Linked DNA regions of Caenorhabditis elegans. The protein of the gene in region 1 interacts with the protein of each later gene in a pairwise test. Each region holds a gene or a part of one and is shown in the gene's direction. Other genes may lie near its edges. The genes, in order: C09G1.4, F57C9.4 and T04C9.1.

Evidence for each region.
Region 2: the proteins of C09G1.4 (region 1) and F57C9.4 interact in a two-hybrid assay, tested with the Caenorhabditis elegans proteins (2 studies listed by BioGRID).
Region 3: the proteins of C09G1.4 (region 1) and T04C9.1 interact in a two-hybrid assay, tested with the Caenorhabditis elegans proteins (2 studies listed by BioGRID).

What each region holds. Positions count from the first base shown.
Region 1 is NC_003284.9:15,993,812-15,998,750, reverse strand, and holds the start of C09G1.4 (uncharacterized protein), read left to right. Parts: upstream 1-1,813; 5' UTR 1,814-1,829; coding exon 1,830-1,911; intron 1,912-4,312; exon of another isoform or gene 4,313-4,536; intron 4,537-4,939.
Region 2 is NC_003279.8:4,828,247-4,836,134, forward strand, and holds F57C9.4 (C2H2-type domain-containing protein), read left to right. Parts: upstream 1-1,893; coding exon 1,894-2,010; intron 2,011-2,063; coding exon 2,064-2,354; intron 2,355-2,399; coding exon 2,400-2,477; intron 2,478-2,986; coding exon 2,987-3,266; intron 3,267-3,582; coding exon 3,583-3,750; intron 3,751-3,798; coding exon 3,799-3,899; intron 3,900-3,947; coding exon 3,948-4,061; intron 4,062-4,107; coding exon 4,108-4,359; intron 4,360-4,402; coding exon 4,403-4,514; intron 4,515-4,565; coding exon 4,566-4,638; intron 4,639-4,687; coding exon 4,688-4,795; intron 4,796-5,223; coding exon 5,224-5,397; intron 5,398-5,444; coding exon 5,445-5,488; coding exon of another isoform or gene 5,489-5,538; exon of another isoform or gene 5,539-5,701; coding exon 5,702-5,788; intron 5,789-5,835; coding exon 5,836-6,154; intron 6,155-6,608; coding exon 6,609-6,699; intron 6,700-7,121; coding exon 7,122-7,283; 3' UTR 7,284-7,376; downstream 7,377-7,888. Other genes in the region: htp-3 (HORMA domain-containing protein), read left to right, coding at 20-384, 435-1,430.
Region 3 is NC_003281.10:5,991,518-5,996,318, forward strand, and holds the start of T04C9.1 (Rho GTPase-activating protein 26), read left to right. Parts: upstream 1-1,701; 5' UTR 1,702-1,756; coding exon 1,757-1,910; intron 1,911-1,987; coding exon 1,988-2,083; intron 2,084-2,668; coding exon 2,669-2,958; intron 2,959-3,367; coding exon 3,368-3,467; intron 3,468-3,872; coding exon 3,873-3,934; intron 3,935-3,984; coding exon 3,985-4,059; intron 4,060-4,118; coding exon 4,119-4,197; intron 4,198-4,752; coding exon 4,753-4,801. Other genes in the region: T04C9.2 (uncharacterized protein), read left to right, coding at 363-713.

The sequences.
Region 1 (4,939 bases):
ATTTATTACAAGTTTTCCGACAAATTGAAAAGTATTTTTTTACCCATTATCTATTACCCGTTGCATAAATTATCAATCTTTAGTTTTGTTCGCTATTTTCAGTATTCTTCTTCTTTCTTTTTCTCCCCATTTTTTCGCGATAGATTTATGTGTTTCCTGATACATCACGTACATCCTGCTGCTTCGGCTCGCACAAAAAGAGAAGTTCGTCGCTTAAGAGTAAGTACATCATTCACTAAGGCATCACAACCATCTGGCGAGATTAAACATGTGTTTAACGAGAGGGGGACGGGATGGAACCCTAACTTTTGACGTGTGTGTGTGTCTACCGCCATTCGGGTGTTAGATTACCAAGCAATAATGCAAATGGGTTTGGCGGTTCAGATACTGATCATAAGTGAGTCACATTTTTGGTATTGCGGTAGTTTTTGAAGTTTAGAATTTTGAAGTTAAATTTTTCATAGTCCTCTTTATAGTCATTACCCTCAATTTAAAATTAAAACCCAATGACAATCACGAAAAAGTTTGCAATACCAGTGGTTTTATTAAACATAAATATTAGGGCTTTCATGCAGGCGACGTCTGCCTCGTGCCGCGAGCCGCGCCTCCTGCTTAGTGCTGCGCGGAACCCGAAAAGTGTCGGCCGCTTCCATGGAGGTCCTAATAGTTATCATCAAAAGCTTTTGGGGTCTCTTCTGAACAATCTCGCCATTTCTATGTTTTCGCCAAAAAATCCTAGTTCTATGTAATGTTTACACTGTATTCAAGTTCGTTTTTTTTCACTTTTCCAGAACATTCCTTGCTTTTCTTCTGTACACCCACTCTTCTATTTTTTTTCTTGTTATCACATTGTTCTGAACGACTGCATTGTGTGTTGTATGACCTTTTCCTTTTCGTGATCAATCCGTCCCTGGGGACAGTTCTATTAGGTCGGTGTGCCCACGAATGGTGTGCATTCTAGAGATAGTAGTGAAGAAAAACTGTTTTTTTTTTGCTTCAAGTTCGAATGCCGAAGTTGGTGTTCAAACATTGAATTGTCAATGGGGACACAAGTTGTTTTTTGTTTTTTTTTAATAGAAAGTTTTAGGTGCATTGTTTGGTTATTTTGGAAGAAAGCTGTATTTTTGAAAGCGTGCTCTTAATCTTTTTTTCCGATGCTCTTTCAATCAGTTTCCTTACTCATCATAGTAAAATCCGATATTTCTAACAATACGAGGGTAGCTATTTTTCACTATTTAAAGATTAAAGGGTCAAAGGACGATCCGTTCTCCAAGTGCTATGCACTGCGGATCTGGGACTCAGGTACACTGCCTGGTGGTGATCCCACTGGGTTGTAATTTAAGCCACGTCCGAGCCGGGGACTGTGGCCGATAATCCAGTCTTGGATTGCTCCACTTCCCAATAGGGGCTGGGTGAACCTAGGAAGTGAGGCCGGACTTGAACTCGTGACCTCCAGATTGCTAGCGGCCACCACTACCGACTGAGCTATTTGCCCCCTTATATATTTAATTACTCTTGATCAAAACACACCTAAAACTTCCAAGACGTCAGTACGTGCACCAGTGCCAGTCACGATTGTGTCCACTTTACATATATATCCAATTAACAGTGTCACTTTTCACATCTTTACGTCCATCTCGCTTTTTTTTCGCCTTCTTTTTTTCCCCTACTTTTCCGCAGCCCCCAAAAATTGAGAACATACCTTAACTAGGCCGATTATATCCCATCAGGTCTTTGATGTTATCATTTGTTTCTTTACCTCTGATATGTTATCTTTTTTTTCAAATTGTTCTCTTATAAACTTACAATTTTCAGAGACACAAATCACAATGTCTTCTGGAAATCGGCAGGCTCCAATGCCCCCACCAAAACCTCGAAATTTGGGGCGTGGCCAGTTTTATCAACAAGGAGGTACGTCATAATTATTTCTCACTTTTTTTTCCAAATTCAAAATTAATTTCTTCTTTTTTGCACCAGTCATTCAGTATTCGCTCGTCATCTACAAATAGAAAAGGGAAAAATTATGAATTTTCAATAGACGTACCTTTTTTTGAATACGTGTCTTTTTCGCAAAAAATGTTTTTTTTCTGTGATTTGTTTCTAATATTTTTTGTAAGAGCAAAGTTATTACCTACCATATGCCTAAAATAAATGTGGAATACTAGATTTCGAACATGGTGCATCGACTGGAAAATGTTTTTGGCGCTTGTTGCTTAAAAAACAGGTTACAAATATTTATTCACGTTTTTTTTGGAACATTTACTATGTAATACATAATTTCTTTTAACCGTTTGAACAATTTTTTTCCTGTTTTTTGCTCTAGTCATTTAGTATTCGTTCATCATGAATTATTTCCGAGCTAAAAGAGGCAAATTATGAATTTTTCAAAAACGTACTTTTTCGAATGCAGTGGTGTAGCCATTTTTGCACAATTATGTTTTTTACATGTTTCTATGAGTTCAGTTCAGCCACAGTTTATGGATACAGATATTCATAATATGAAAGATATTTTAAACACGTAACTACTTCTGGAGTTTTTTTTTTTTTATTTTTGTTTAGAATTGTGAATATGCTCCGAAATCGGTCTTTGCAGAATTTTCAAAGTAACATATTAAAAAATTATGAACATTATATTTTTTTCGGTAAAATGTTTGGTATTTTTTAACGGAATGTTTTAAAAAATTGCAAAATTTTTTCGCTATTTTTCTTTAAAAGTGGAGTAGCGCCAGTGGGAAAGTTGTTAAAAACCACTCCTTTGGTCCCAAAATGACCACATATCATAATGAAACTTATTTATTGTCAAAAAGTGACAATTACTCAGTTTTTGCCAATCATAATTTTGGAAGTCGACCAAAAAAATGTTTCTACATTTTTTATACAGTAATTATTTGGATTAAAACATTGTAGGGCCCGGAACATGTGAAATTGCTTTGGATTTCTTCAAAAGCTCTTATTTTTCAAAATTCTGAAAATTTGCCAAAGTTTAACCGGAAATTATGAAAAGCCTGAAATTTTTTGAATTGTATTATTAAGATATTTGGTCTTTTTAGATCATAATGAGTGTCTACTCCATGTTTAAATAATACCCGTTTTTGCCTATTCCCCAAAACTCCAGTGGCCATTAATAGTCTGCAAGAACTAATTTCGGAAAATTTAGATCTGAAAGTCATTGAAACAAAACAAACTCTATTAAAATTTTAGGAGCGCATTTCCGCTATTTAAAACTTTTCAATCGTCTCTGTGAAATAAATGTTTTCAAATTAGGTAAAACGTTAGGTAAGTCTTGAGTAATTCTTAGTTAGTGTTGAAAACGTTAGTGTAGAAAAAATTTTTTTTGGAGCAATTGAATTTAACTGCTAAATTGTGCGTTTGTATTCCAAAATTTTGAAGCGAATCTAACAGATATTTGATCTCTGGCTTTCAATTGCAAAGTAATTCTCCCTTTTTTGTCGCTCACCACAAAGCGTCAAGTTTTCTCAGTTTCAGTGTAACATGCCATACACACCAAAACGACAAGCTTTTCAAAATAAGAAAAACGGAAAGTGAGCAAGTGACGCGGCGCGCGGTCAGCGTTTTTTTTTGTAACCCATCTCAAATGCCAAGTCTCTGTGTTCGTGGACCTTTTCAAGCGAGACTATGTCTGTGTATGTGTGTGTGCCTTTTTCATTTTTGCTCCCGAAGAGCCCAGTACTACACATTCAGAACTTTTACACTTCTAGCTCGGCACCATGTGCTGATCTTGGTCCAACAAACCCCAACAAAAGTGCGTTCTGCGTTTTGCCCGCAACCCATTCCTGCTTATTGCATTTTGAGGAAGAGCATTCAGACAGCGCCCATGATGCAGAATATTTGCGCGTTTTTTTTGAGTGTGTAAACGGAGAGCCCATTCTGAAAATAATCATTGGTTGCTGAAGAGGGCAAAGAATCGTAGCGCTACCAGTGTTTACTTGAGCTTGATCTTGGAATTTTGATTGGAACCTTTTTGATTTGAAATATAATTTTTGAACAGTATACTGAAAAAGTATGAAGCTCAACTGAAGCATATTGAGCTGAAAAAAGTAAATCTGAAATGTTCAGCACTTTTTTTCTACTTCCGATGTCTTTAAAATTGCTTTAAAAATATACTTACAGTCAACCATTTTAGAAATGCAAAACAATTTTTTCACTGATTTGTTTGATAAAAAAAACCACGTGGGGTCAAAGTGTCCCATGTTGGTTTGATCTTCAAAAAATGCGGGAGAACTTTTCCCCTGATTTCGTATGGCTAACCATGTGTGCTGACGTCACATTTTTCTGAAAAAAAAATTCCCGCCGATTTTGTAGATCAAACTGTATTAGGACAGCCTGACACCATTTGAAAATGATGCAAAAGATTTTCAGATCGGCTTCAAAGAGCTTCAGTTTTTCTTCAGACTTCAGACTTTCAAAGATATAGGCATTCCCAGTGCTCCTCGAGAGCATGCCTCACTTCTCCGTGTGGTCGAACCGAACCACTTCAACCCTTAACAGGCACGAGGGAGTGGACGAAAAAAAAAAAACGAAAGAAAAATGTGCCAAAACTTTTTTTTAGTGAGGGATGGGGTGTTGCACTCTCGTTTTGCCGTCCTCTTTCTTCTCCCCTGCTCTCTACTCTTCGGTAGATGTCATCAATAATTCTGTCCAAACATGCTTTAAACTCATTGTTCTTCCTCTCCTGATCCCCTTGTTGCTGCCGCCACCAAAAAACGTCACGTTCCACTTCTTCTTCCTCTCCTGCTGCTACTTTTTGCAGTTTCTTTTCGCCTATACATTTTCATTTTTTTGTCGGCGGTTACTACCGCTCCAGCTCCTACTTCCATTTTTTTCATTTTCATTTTATCTCATTTATAATGCGGACATATCGCGTTTCCCCCCAAACAGACCCTTTTTTTTTGGTTTAAGGCCGTGAGAAATAGAAAAG
Region 2 (7,888 bases), on another chromosome or scaffold:
AATTTTCTAATGTTTATAGGTCGTCAAGAAGTACGTATGGACGAAGATGTGGCAAACGAATCAATTCGTTGTAATCCAAGTATGGCCAGTGAAATGATGGTTCTGCAGTCCGAATATAATGTATTGATTGCTGATAATGATGAAGTTCCAATGGTTGTTGAAAGGGAACGTTCTCCAATAGTGAAAGCTGCAAAGAAACGTTCAACGAGAGCTCCCGCTGTCCCGATAACTCCAACGGAACCGGCTTCTCCCGTGGAGTCCCCGGTGAAAGAGCAACCTCAAAAAGCGCCAAAAGCTCAGATGAGACGTTCCAGTAAACGCACCACGAAGAACAATGAACGATGCGAACAGAAAGAAGAAGAACCAATAGTGAACCCAAAAAGGGTAATTATTTTTATTGTTATAATAAAAATGTTAAGTTCAATAATTTACAGAGAAGTGCTCGTCGGCTTGTACCTCCAGTTGAAGTCGATGAACAGCCAGAAGAACAAAATGATGATGATGCTCAGAATTCTCTTCAAATTGACTCTGATGCTCAGAATTCTCTTCAAATTGACTCTGATGCTATTATCACCTCTCCCGAGAAGAGAAATGAATCAAAGTCTGCAATACCTGAGGAAGCTGCGGATCTAGATAATACTACATCTGAGAAGCAGGAGAGCTCAACAGCAAGATATGGCGTTTCAAATACTTCTATTAACAGGAAAAAACCAGACCCAGTTGCAAATCCGGTTTCGGAAGAGGCTCAGGTAGATTTGGCGAACGGTAGTATCCCGGATAAAAGACCACGGAAGAGAAAATATGGACGAGTGTCGAGTATTCTCGACGTCGCTGATCTGCCAACTGACGATACAGTGGAGGAAGACGTTCGTGAAAGTCCCATCTACGGTCGTGTACCAAGTATATTGGATGTAGCAAGGGCTGAGGAGAACGATGCTCAAAATGATGCTCAAGATGCTCAAAATGAAATTGCTGTTGAGGGACTTGCCGACTTATCAATTGACACCGAGCAGCATGAAGAAGCAGCTCCAATTAATGTTACTGGTCATCAATCGGAGAGCGTTCCAATCATTGTGACGGAGCATCAGTCTGAAGAAGCTCAAACGGTTGTCACGGAGCAACCAGCAGGAGCAGCTTCAGTTATTGCTGCGGAGAGACACTACGGCCGAGTTTCGAGTATTCTCGATGTAGCTGGTTCGTTCGCTGACGTAGATCCATCAGGTGCCGCTCCAGCTATTGCCACAGAGAGACACTACGGCCGAGTTTCGAGTATTCTTGATGTAGCTGGTTCGTTAAGTGACGTAGATCCACAGGAAGATACCGAAAGCTCCACTCAAAACCAATCGACTTCCAAGAAATTCAAACCAAACCCTCCAAAGGCAATGAGGTACGGCCAGTCGCCGAACATGCCAAGTAGAAGAGGAAACTGAACGATTTCTGGACAATCGTGTACAATTATCAATCTGTTCCATTTTTTTGTTGTTTCTTCGATTTCCTTTTTAATAGTTGGACAAATGCCTTAGTTTTCGAATGAATTTTTTAAATATTAATTTTCATATCCGATGATGATGGGAATTTGTTAAAATACAAAATATTACTTGCATGTGATGAAATATTTAGAGCTATTCAAGTATTTTCCAGCGTTTCAGAATTCTTTCGTTGGCGTTCTTTTTTGAACATAGCGCCGTTTTCTTTCTCAAAGGAGCGCGGTGACATACACTTGTTTCCCTTTTTTCAGTGGCCGTTCGCTCTTTACTCTAATCGATTTCACTTTGGCATTCTGTTCTTATTCCAGCTAAAGTTTTTAAGAATTGTGTTTTTTTAATGAATTTCTCTTTTTGGGTTCTATTTAGTTCGCCACATTTTGAAAAAAATCAACGTTTTTCAGGATAAATGACATCATTAATCGATTCGAGGGTGCTCTACGAGAGTGATTTTTCCATTTTCAACGGTCGACTATGTTCTCTACGCATATCAGCTGTTACCAATAATGAAGAGGGTATTGAAAAAGTGAGATTAATTGGAGATATATTGATTTTTAAATAAAAATAATTAATTTTCAGATTCGAATAACGTCTCCTTCCGATGCTACAATTTTGCTAGATACATCGATCAGTTCTGACGAGTGTTCCAGTTTTATTGAAATTTTGAAAGAAATCTCCACGGCACGGAAAAGCGATCCATCGATTTTAGGACCACGGATTGAAACAATACATTCGGAAAATGAATATCCATTTCAAATGGTTATTGAACCGATTAACAGAGAAAAACATTCGGGAAAAACTCTTCCACTTTCTCATCCACCACCACAGGAACGATGTGATTATGTTCTTCAATTATATGCAAAAGAAAAAGTAAAACTAAATGGTCAGGATTTAATGAAAAAAAAAAAATTTCAGGTACAACACCAAAGCCAAAAAACAAAAGTGGAAGAGTTGACGAAGCAACTTCAACAAGCCAGAGTTGATTATAACACAGTGAGTTTGTGTTGTCAAAATATAGAAAATATTTTGATTCATATGGAAAATAAAAAAAAGCAATCGGCAACTTTCAGCCCATTTTTCCAATGTTCCAGTTGAAAAAAAAATTATTTTCAGATAATTTAAGTGATTTTCTATTATTTTAGACACTAATTTTCATTTAAAAATATTGGAAAACATGCCATTTTGTAGAATTGCCGCCCGCGAATAATTTTTTACAATTCTACAAAATAGCATGTTGCACCATGTTTTTCTTAAAAAATTATCGAGTTTTTTATATTTTATTTTTTAGAACTTTATTCGGTGCTTACGTTAAAAATAAATTTATTTTAAGATGAATCAAGTGGTCAAAAAAAACATATTCTGACATTAATTTTCAATGAATAAAAAAACAAAATCTTTTAATTTCTTCAAAACCGCCAAAAATATTGTATTTTCGCTTCTGAATTCAGATCTGAAAAGTACTAATTAATGAAATAATTAATCAATAACCCTATCTTTTCCAGCTAAAACAACGATGTGACTTTCAAGAAAAAGAAATTGCACTTCTCCGGCAGATTACAAGTTCCACAGGATCTGGAAATCGAAAAAGAAGTCGTGACGATTCTGAAACTACGCATATAAAAAAGCGAAGATGTGGATGTGGAGATGATGGAGAATCGTGTGGTTCTGATTGTGATGGAATGGATGATGATGAAGAAGATGAGACTGATACAGATGTTCAAATGTTTCGAGCAGCCACAGCTCAATTGCAAATGGCTGCAGCAGGAAGGAATACTCAAAATGGTAAGTATTTTGTCTGAACATTGACGAAATCTTCGCGTCGGTTTTCGATTCGCGGTTTTTTCTCTATTTTATTTTTAAAATTAATATTCTTCCCGTTTTTAATAATTCTCTCTGTGCTTTCCCTGTGTAAATATTTTCGTATTGACTTTTCGGTCAAGAAAATGAATTTTCAAAAAAAAACCACAAATTTTCAGACTAGTGACAGGAAATCGATGATGCGAAAATAAAAACAGGGAAGATACGGAAAGAATTGTTTAAAAACGCTGATGTAGGAACACGGACCACGTAACGAATATTTTAATCCAAAAATTTTCAGGCACCTCTTCACATCAAAAACTGAAACGAAAAATTCCAAAAAGTCAGTCGGTTTCTATTGGAAATGCTCGTGGAATGGTCACACTTCCCAACTTATTGCAACCAAAATTAGAAGAAAGTGACGACGGATATAATTATTCTGGACGAAGCTCGACTCAATCAAATATTGGTATAATGGTTTTTTTTTGAAAATTTCAAAAATTCGTACAATTTCCAGACAAGCTGGAGTTGGCGGTTCGTCGGGAGAGTATAGTAGACATCGGAAGAGCCGTCATTGATGGTATAAAAAACAAAACTCTAACTGAAAATCAATTGGAGGTACAGCTTAAAACTTTGAAAATTAAAAATTAGAAAGATTTTTTATAGGAATTTTGCAAAACCACTCACAGACCTAACATCTCAATTTTCCGATTCTACAAAGATTCGGAAGAATGCACCAAAGAGGAAAATGAAGCAATTATGATGGGACAAACTGTTATGGTAATTCGAATTTTTGCTGAAAAAATCTCAAATATGAATATTCTAGATGAAAATGTTGGATCCACAAGAAAAAGCAATCGCCGGAGTTCAAGCATCAATCAGCTCACTTTCAGCAAGTTTTGCGAATCAGACCAAGCTTGGACTGATCAAGCATCAGAGGCTTACTCGTTCATATGTGACTCTGCCTGTTGACTATTTCCCTTCAATCGATCTAACGGAAGCCTATAACTCATCTAATCTCTTCGGAGCCGACGCTACAATGCAGCTCACCAACTTCTACCAAACTGTGCTCAAAAACGTACGGCCTAGTTGCTCAATTCGAATTTTAAAGTATCCTTCAGGTTTTAAATCCGGTTTATATGATCTGGATCTACACATACCGGCCATCAACTGTCAGAACTTGTGACAAACATTTTGTGGAATTCCCTCAAAACGTCATTACCACGTTATTTGGTACTTGTTACAGAAATTCGAATTAATTTTCTGAAACTAATTGAATTTCAGATATGACTACCGATATTGTAGGCCTCTACCTTCCTGAATACTTACTCGACGGTGAAATTGACCCCATGGACCCGTAAGAAATTCAAACAAGTAATTTTAAATTTATTCTTAATTATATTCAGATTTCTTCTAACAATTGATGCTGTCGATCCATTTGAAGAGATTATGAGACGTCGTACCGAAAGAAAATTGGCAAACACTACATTCAATCATGCTCTTGGAAGAGCAATGTGAGGGAATCGTATTACGGGAACACAAAATCCTGAGAATGCGCATTGCGCAACATAATTGATGCGCAAAATATGTCGTAGCGAAAACTACAATAGTTCTTTAAATGACTACTGTAACGCTTGTATCGATTTACGAGCTCAATTTTCGAAATCATTTATTTTTCGATAAAATATTAAAATTAGGAAAAACGATAAAATAATACGAATAAACAAAGGAAAATATACTATCGCTGTCACTATTCAAAAATAAATTTCAAAAATCGAGCCCGTAATTCGCCACACTCACTACAGTAGTCATTTACCGAATTCCTGTAGTTTTAGATATTGTGTGCGTCAAATAGGTTGCGCAATACGCATTCCCAGAAATTTGTGTTCCCGGGAATTCCCGTAATAACCATTGTTCCGTGTTTAATTTAAATTTCAAACAGGAAAAATCTGCGGAGCTACCATTACGATCCAACAAGAGGTATTCTGTTGAATTGCAGTGAAAAGAAGAACTGCGGAATGCATTTACAATGGGAACAAATGCGAAAGTTCCGGGAGTACTGTAGGAAGGAAAATGTTGCCTGTGATGATGCGACTCCGGAAGAAATGATTGCTTTGTTAGTTTCGTCGAATTAAGGAATTTTATTAATTCAGGAATTTTCAGCAATCTCCGTGCATCTAAAGTACATTACGAAGACTATAGCCCTGGTGATGCATCTACATCGTTGAATAATATTAACCCGGCAACAGAAACTTAATTGATAATTTCTAAATTATTTTGTTTTTCACTTCACTTATTTACATCTCTTCTTAATTGTACGGTCTCGAGAATAAAAATTTTATTTCTGGTTTTAAAGGAATGAAATTTAGTGAAAATAAAAGAAACAAAAATTGAGTAGTTGCAAAATATTTAATTTTTAGGTAATGTTTCATCGGAAGAAGGAAATAAAAATGAAATGCCAAATTTTATGGAACAACTCGAGAAGTTTTCCAGTGTTATTGTAAAAGGTAAAGCTTTTTTGAGAGAAATAATTTCTAAAATTCAAAATTTGCAGGTCCAAACCTTCCATCAACCTCTACAATGAGCACAATGCACATAAAAATGGAAAATGGAAAAGAGCAATCAGGCCCTCTTCTACTACGAAATTCACCGAATGATCAAAATCAGAAAGTCGTTGGAGTTGTTCAATACGTAATATGTCAACTGTGTCCAGAAGAAGAACAAAAATCGATGGATTTATCGAATCAGAAGCAAATGGAAGAACATTTTCTGAATAAGCATGTTGATAAGGAGAAAAAGAAATGCGAAGCTTGTCCGTCGGATCAGTTTCAGCCACATAATATTGGACAACATTATCGATTGCATACAAATAGGTGAGAATTAGAACTGGCGTTTTTTTGGTTTTTTGATGTTTTTCATGTTTTTGAGAGAAAATCGAAAATCAAAAAATTGAAAAACGAAAATTTTCGATGTTTTTTTTTCGAAAAATCGAAAAAAAATGTACAGAAAATTAACCATATTTTTAAAATCCAATTCAGTTTATATTGATGAGAAAAAACATTAAAATTTCATCTAAAAGAAGAAAAAGACCAAAGTTTTAATCAAATTTTTAAAAATTCGGAAAAATGTCGGAAATATCGAAAAACGAAAAACTTTTGATTTTTCGTTTTTTTCAATCGAAAATGTTTTTGTAAAAAATTAGTTTTTATCAAAAAATCTAAAATTTTCCGTTCTTCGATTTTTCGGAAAAAATCGGAAAAAAAGACAGCTCTGGTGAGAATACAGATTTTTTGTTTTAAATTAAAATTTTAAATTAATATATTTCAGTGTATTTGCATGCGAGCATTGCGGCAAACGAGGACGTCGGAATTTTTTGAAGACCCACATTCGAACACACACTGGTGAAAGACCATACAGAGTGAGTTATACATTTGAAAATATGCTTCCCAAATATAGATCGATCAGGGAATTTTTTATTGATAAAATGTTATTTTTAAAGTTTTGTAAATTTTTCAAAAATTTTGGAATAAAAGGCTAAAAAAGGCTACAATTTAGTTAGATCCAAAGTTTTGCAGACAATGATTATCACAAAGAAAATTCGACAAAAAAAACAAAAATCGAATTTCTCAAAAAAAAAACCTTTCAATTTTTTCTTTTACAATTAAATATTAAAATTTTTTTTTACAAAATAAAATTTAAGTTGTTTAAAAAAAAAACAACATTGTTGACATTTTTGAAAAAAAAGGTTCTTACTACAATACCACTTCCAAGGCGCACTCCGTTGTATTTTGAATCGCCTTCCTGTGAAAAAAAAATTCAAAATTCTCTCTCGTATTTCAGTGTGACACATGTTCGAAATCGTTCACCGATGCCTCAACACTGCGTCGCCACGGACTTGTGCACACTGGTGAAAAGAAATATCAATGCCCGGTGTGTGGACGAGCGATTGCACGGAAAGATAACGTTAAAGCTCACATTCGAAGTCACGGAATTCAAATTTAACGCTTTTTTATTGTCTATCGAGGTATTTTTTGAGTGGAAGCGTTGCTTTTTTTGTTTTTTGGAAAATATGTAATAAATGTATTTGCACCATCACTTGTTTTTTCTTGTTCGTTTTTTGGTTTTTGCACCCTTATTAATGTCTCTAGTTCCTACAGGCATGCTTTTTTATCTAATCTAATCAAAATTTTGGAATTTTATTTGGTTTTTTGCCCAAAATCACCAAAAACGGTGCAATAAAACGAAAAGTTTTTGAAATTTCCTAAGTTTTAGTGTTTTTACAATTTTTGAAATTTAGAAATATTCGGCCATTTGGAATTTTTTTTTGCGAAATTACAAAAAAAATAATTTTAAAAATTTAGAAAAATTTTATAAATTTTTACAGTTATTTTTCAGTATATTGAGACTGTTCTCTGACATTTTTGACAAAAAAAACCTACAGACGCCGTTAAAATCGAATTTTTGCAAAAATTTTTTAAAAAAAGTTGTTTAGGATTTAAAACTTGAAATTAATTTAAAATTATCAAATTTAAAACATTTAAACTAATTTACATATCTGGCAAAATAATGTATATAAAAATTTTTTGAGAAAATTTTAATGCAAACTT
Region 3 (4,801 bases), on another chromosome or scaffold:
ACTTTGTTACTACTTTTTTCTATCTTTTTCTGCTTTTCATTCTCTTCAATTTTTCGCGGTCCCATCTCTTCCGCTTGTGACGTCGTCAACTTCTTCTTCTTCCCCTACTTCTTCCTCCGTCGCCGCTGTCGTCGTTTTTCTTTCCTCTTCATAATCGCTTTCCGTCGACCACTCGAATATTCTGACGTTCGCCGTGCCGCGACTCATCCGTTCGTTTCTATGATTCGAATTTTTTGAGAAAAACTAGAAAGCGTTGATATTGTCAAGTGTTTCGTTTTAGGATATATTCTAAAGACGAAAGGACGGATGCAAGTGTGTGTATGTATTTGTGCCATTGCAATGACGAGAGCGGAGCAAAGAAAATGACGAAGAAGAAGAAGCAGTCCTTCTCTTCGCTCATTCTTCTACTGCTCGTTCTTCCCATATATACTCATTCCCCCCGGAGAATTGTTCTTTTCCGCATTGCTGCTTCCCGTTGCCGCTGTCGTCGTCCGCCTTTCCTTTCGATTCGAATCGGATCGACAAGTTCCAGACGGCAAGAGTCATCCCTTCCATCCATAAACGCCATCACTGTCGTCGTCGTCGTCGCCTTCTTCTTTGAAAAAATGAGAAAAGCTAGAAAAAATGACGAATTGTGTTGGAGTCCTCGTCCTTCTCCTCTGCCTCTCCTTCTTTGGCGATGGCACACAACAGCATGGCCACAACACAAATAACGCGATAACTTTGTTTCGGCTCCTATACAAATTTGGTTATTTTTGTTGGTCGCTCCAACATTTTTTTCGTCCTCATCCGAGCCATGACTTCTCTTCTCCTTTTCCTCTATTTCGTCTCAAACTTCCGTTCTTTTTTACCTAATCATCATTATTAGCCCCATCCTTATCATCTTCTGGAACCCACATCGTCATCTTCGGTTTCTTTCTTTTTGAGGCACAAGCAACAACTACTTTTCTCGCATCTTCTCTCCTCCAGCTTCTCTTCTTTATGAGCCGGGTTAGGGGCTCTTCGAAAATTGTTTCCACTCGGCTGCCTTCGTGTTTTCGACGTGCCCGAACTTGCTCAAAACCGAAGCTCACGCATCGTTAGGTAACGAAAGAATTACACGTAGGAGGGACGCACTGCCGTTTGATTCTTATCTGTCATCGTCAGGATTGTTGCAACCTCTTCAATCCTCCGGATGTGCGTTGATTCCCGCACGATTAGACAATTTGTTGTGAAGGTGTACGCTATGTTTTGTCGTAAAATAGGTCACACTTGGAAGTTTTATTTTGGCAGCTTCATAATTATTCTAATTTATGATGTGATGGATTTTCTTTTTATATTTCATTTATCTGATTACCTTTCTCATTTTCCATATCAATTCTTGCTCGGTTCATCAGCTAATTCCATTGGTAGTGTCAGAATTCATGTAGCAGATAGATAGATACTCATAGATATTCCTTCGTCGCCTCAAGTATCAAGTTTCTTGCTTCTTTTTCTTCTTCTTCTTCTCTTCGCTTGTCCATATCCCCCGCGAGTTCTTCTTTCCTTTTCTTTTAATTGTTTACTTCTTCTCCTCATTCTACTCATCTTTTCCTTCATGTTTCAGAAAAAATTGTGGTATTTTGAGACAATTTTTTCTTTTCATTTCTCTATGTTTGCCTATCACTGAGGCTTTTTCTCTTGAAAATCTCTGCAAATCATTCCAATCAAAAATAATTTCAGGACACCTTGTCCAGTAGACAAAACCCGTCTACTTAGGACTCTGCGCTCATCACAAATGGTGTTACGGGCGCTCGAGTTTTCGGACTCGATATCCGATTCTCCGTGGTTTCGACAAAATTTGCATGATCACGAAGTGGCACTGGACGACGCTTTCAAGAACATCAAGCTCATTGAGAATCAGTGCAAGGAGCTGATTGCGTGCACAAAAAGTATGTGGCTTTTCTCTCTTTTTGACCCTTTACTTTTCCATTTAATCGCGTGGAATTTATAATTATTTTTATTGCAGAGCTTTCAACAGCACAACGAGCATTCGCAAAGACGTTAAGTGAATTCAAGTTTGAAACAGTCGGAACAAATCAGACAGATGATGAACGGTTTATTGGTGAGACTTTTGTTTAGCAAAAATTTATATAAAAAAATACGCGATGTTAAAAAAAAAAGTACAAAACATTTTTATTTTAAAAAAATTTCGCAGTAAAAAAATTAATTTCGGAATTTTATTATCCAGCCAAGAAAAATCGAAATTTGCTGAAAACATGTTTTTAAATGTTTTAAAATTATTAAATTTCAATTTTTTTTAATTTACCATAGTTAAAAAAAAATTTTAAACATTTTTAGGAATAGCAAAAAAGAGTATTTTGCCGTAGCAACCGTTCATTTTTGCCAAATTTTTCAAAGTCATATTTTTTACAATAAAAAAATAGTGTTGAACTCTCTTTTAAAATTTTTTTAATTGTCTCGAATTTCAATATTCCAACAAAGACCTTCGAAATCTGAATTGTTCGTGAAATTTTGAAATTTTTATAAGTTTCCTTCAATAAAAAAATTCGTTTCAGTTTTTTCTCCCAAAAAATCTATCGAAAGTTAACAAAATCCAAATTGCAAGTGATTCTCATTGTAATTTACCAAAATGCTTAATTTTCATAAATATTTTTATTGTCTTTGAAATAATATTTCACATTTTCAGCCACATGTCTAAAAGAATTCGGAAGTCTGATCAATCAAGTCGAAGATGAACGAATGAAACTTGTTGGACAAGCTGAAGAAAGTTATTTGGAACCAATAAAAAAGTTTCGAACTGAGGCGATTGGTAGAACATTGAAAGAGGAAAAGAATAAATATGACAAAGAAAGTAGCAAGTTCTATCAAACACTTGAAAAACATCTTCATCTGAGTACTGTTCGTAATAACGATTTTCGAGCCGCTGATGCCCAATTGGAGACTCAACAGAAAAACTTTTTTCAAGCTTCGTTACAGGTTTGAGTTTATAAAGTTGTCTTCAAATTATAAAATTGGAAAAAATTTGTGTTTTAATTTTCAGAATTAATGAAATTTTGGCCATTTTCTATTTTTAGACTAAAATTTCTTTCTAAATTTTTTTTTGGAAAATCGAAGGAATTTTGGTTTTTCGAATTAAAAAAAATCAACAAAAAAAATTTTTTTTCTGAAATATTGCGAATTTAAAATTTCTTTCAAAAAAAAAAAAACTTTCTGCCTTTTCAGAATTTAAAAAAATCAAAAGTTTTCGTTTTTAGTTTTTCTAAATAGTGTAATTCAAGTTTTTAAGAATTTGCCGTTGGAAATAGTACAATATAAATTGCTATTTTCAGTTAAAAAGTATATTCAACATAATTTCTCAAAAATAAAAAATAAAAAAAATTTACAGTATGTGGCAGAAGTTCAATCAGTTCAAGAACGAATGCGGTTCGAGTTTGTCGAAACATTAGGATCTTATGTTTATTCGTGGCTTTCATTTTTTCATGTTGGTAAGTATTTGTACAGGTAAAAAAAAGTTTCTGAATGATTATACAAATTTTATAAATTTGAATATTTTTCACAAAAAAAAATAGAAATTACTTGAAAAATCAGATTTTCGACAACTTTGTCTCGATTATAATTTTGAAAATAAAACTAACTATTTTAAATCACAAACTTTTCTATTTCACTTACAGAAATTCGGATTTCATGTAAAATTTCGACCAGAATGAAAAAAAAATTAAAAATTAAACAAAAATATATTTTTTCATTTTTTTTCTATAAATTATCGAAATATCATCGAAAATGAAGAAAAAAAAATCAAACTACTCACAAAAAGGCATTATTATTTTTAAATTTGGTTTCCAGACACATCATTTTTTTTTGCATTTTTCTAAAACTTTTTCCTGTTTCAGGTAGTGTGATTCATCAAGATTTCAAACCATTCCTTGACAATGTACAAACAAAAGTTCAAAAGGTTAGTTTAAAAAACTCTCCCCGTCAGATCGAAATTTTATCGAATTTCAGACAAAGGAAAATTATAATGCAACGAATGCTGAGGCAGAAGAGCTTAAGAAAAAACTGTTGGCTTCTCATACAAAAGTAAGTTTTTTCATACTTTGGAATTTCATATTCATCGCAAATTTTTATTGAAATTACAGCCGGGTTCTGAAGATCGACGACCGACGCCATCAATTAAACAAGGATACGTGTATATGCAGGAAAAGAGCAAAATTCCGAGTAAGTTTCTATATACAAAATTTGGTTTATTAAAAAAATTCAAAATGAAAAAATGCATCTGAAAGTTCTCGATTTTAGAAAAAATCAACCAGAAAATTATTATTTTATGAATAAAATATTCGGTTTTCACAAAATGAGAGCCTCTTTTAAAAATTAAAATTTTTCGTTCGATTTTGTTATTTTTTATAAAAATCTAACTAATATTTTCAAAAAATAAATTACCAGTTTCAATTGTGAAAATCTTTTCCAAAAATTATTTTCAATTTTTCAATTGGCCTGAAATTTGAAAATTTCACTAAAAAAATTACTGAAATGTGGTTTTAAATTTAGAAAAAAATAAAATGATAGTAAAGAAAACAAGAGACTTAACAGTTTTGTAGCGTTACAGTAACCACTTTGAAAGATAATTCACAATTAATTTTGCAAAATTAGGACAAAAATTTTCGATGATAAAAAAATTAATTTTAAGACTTTTGAAAGTCGATAATTATAAATCGCTATAAGAATACAAAATCGTGATTTTTTCAAAATAATTACAATTTCTTCAATTTCCAGAAACAATTGGACGAGACGTGCTCCTTGGCAGATGGACAAAATATTACTG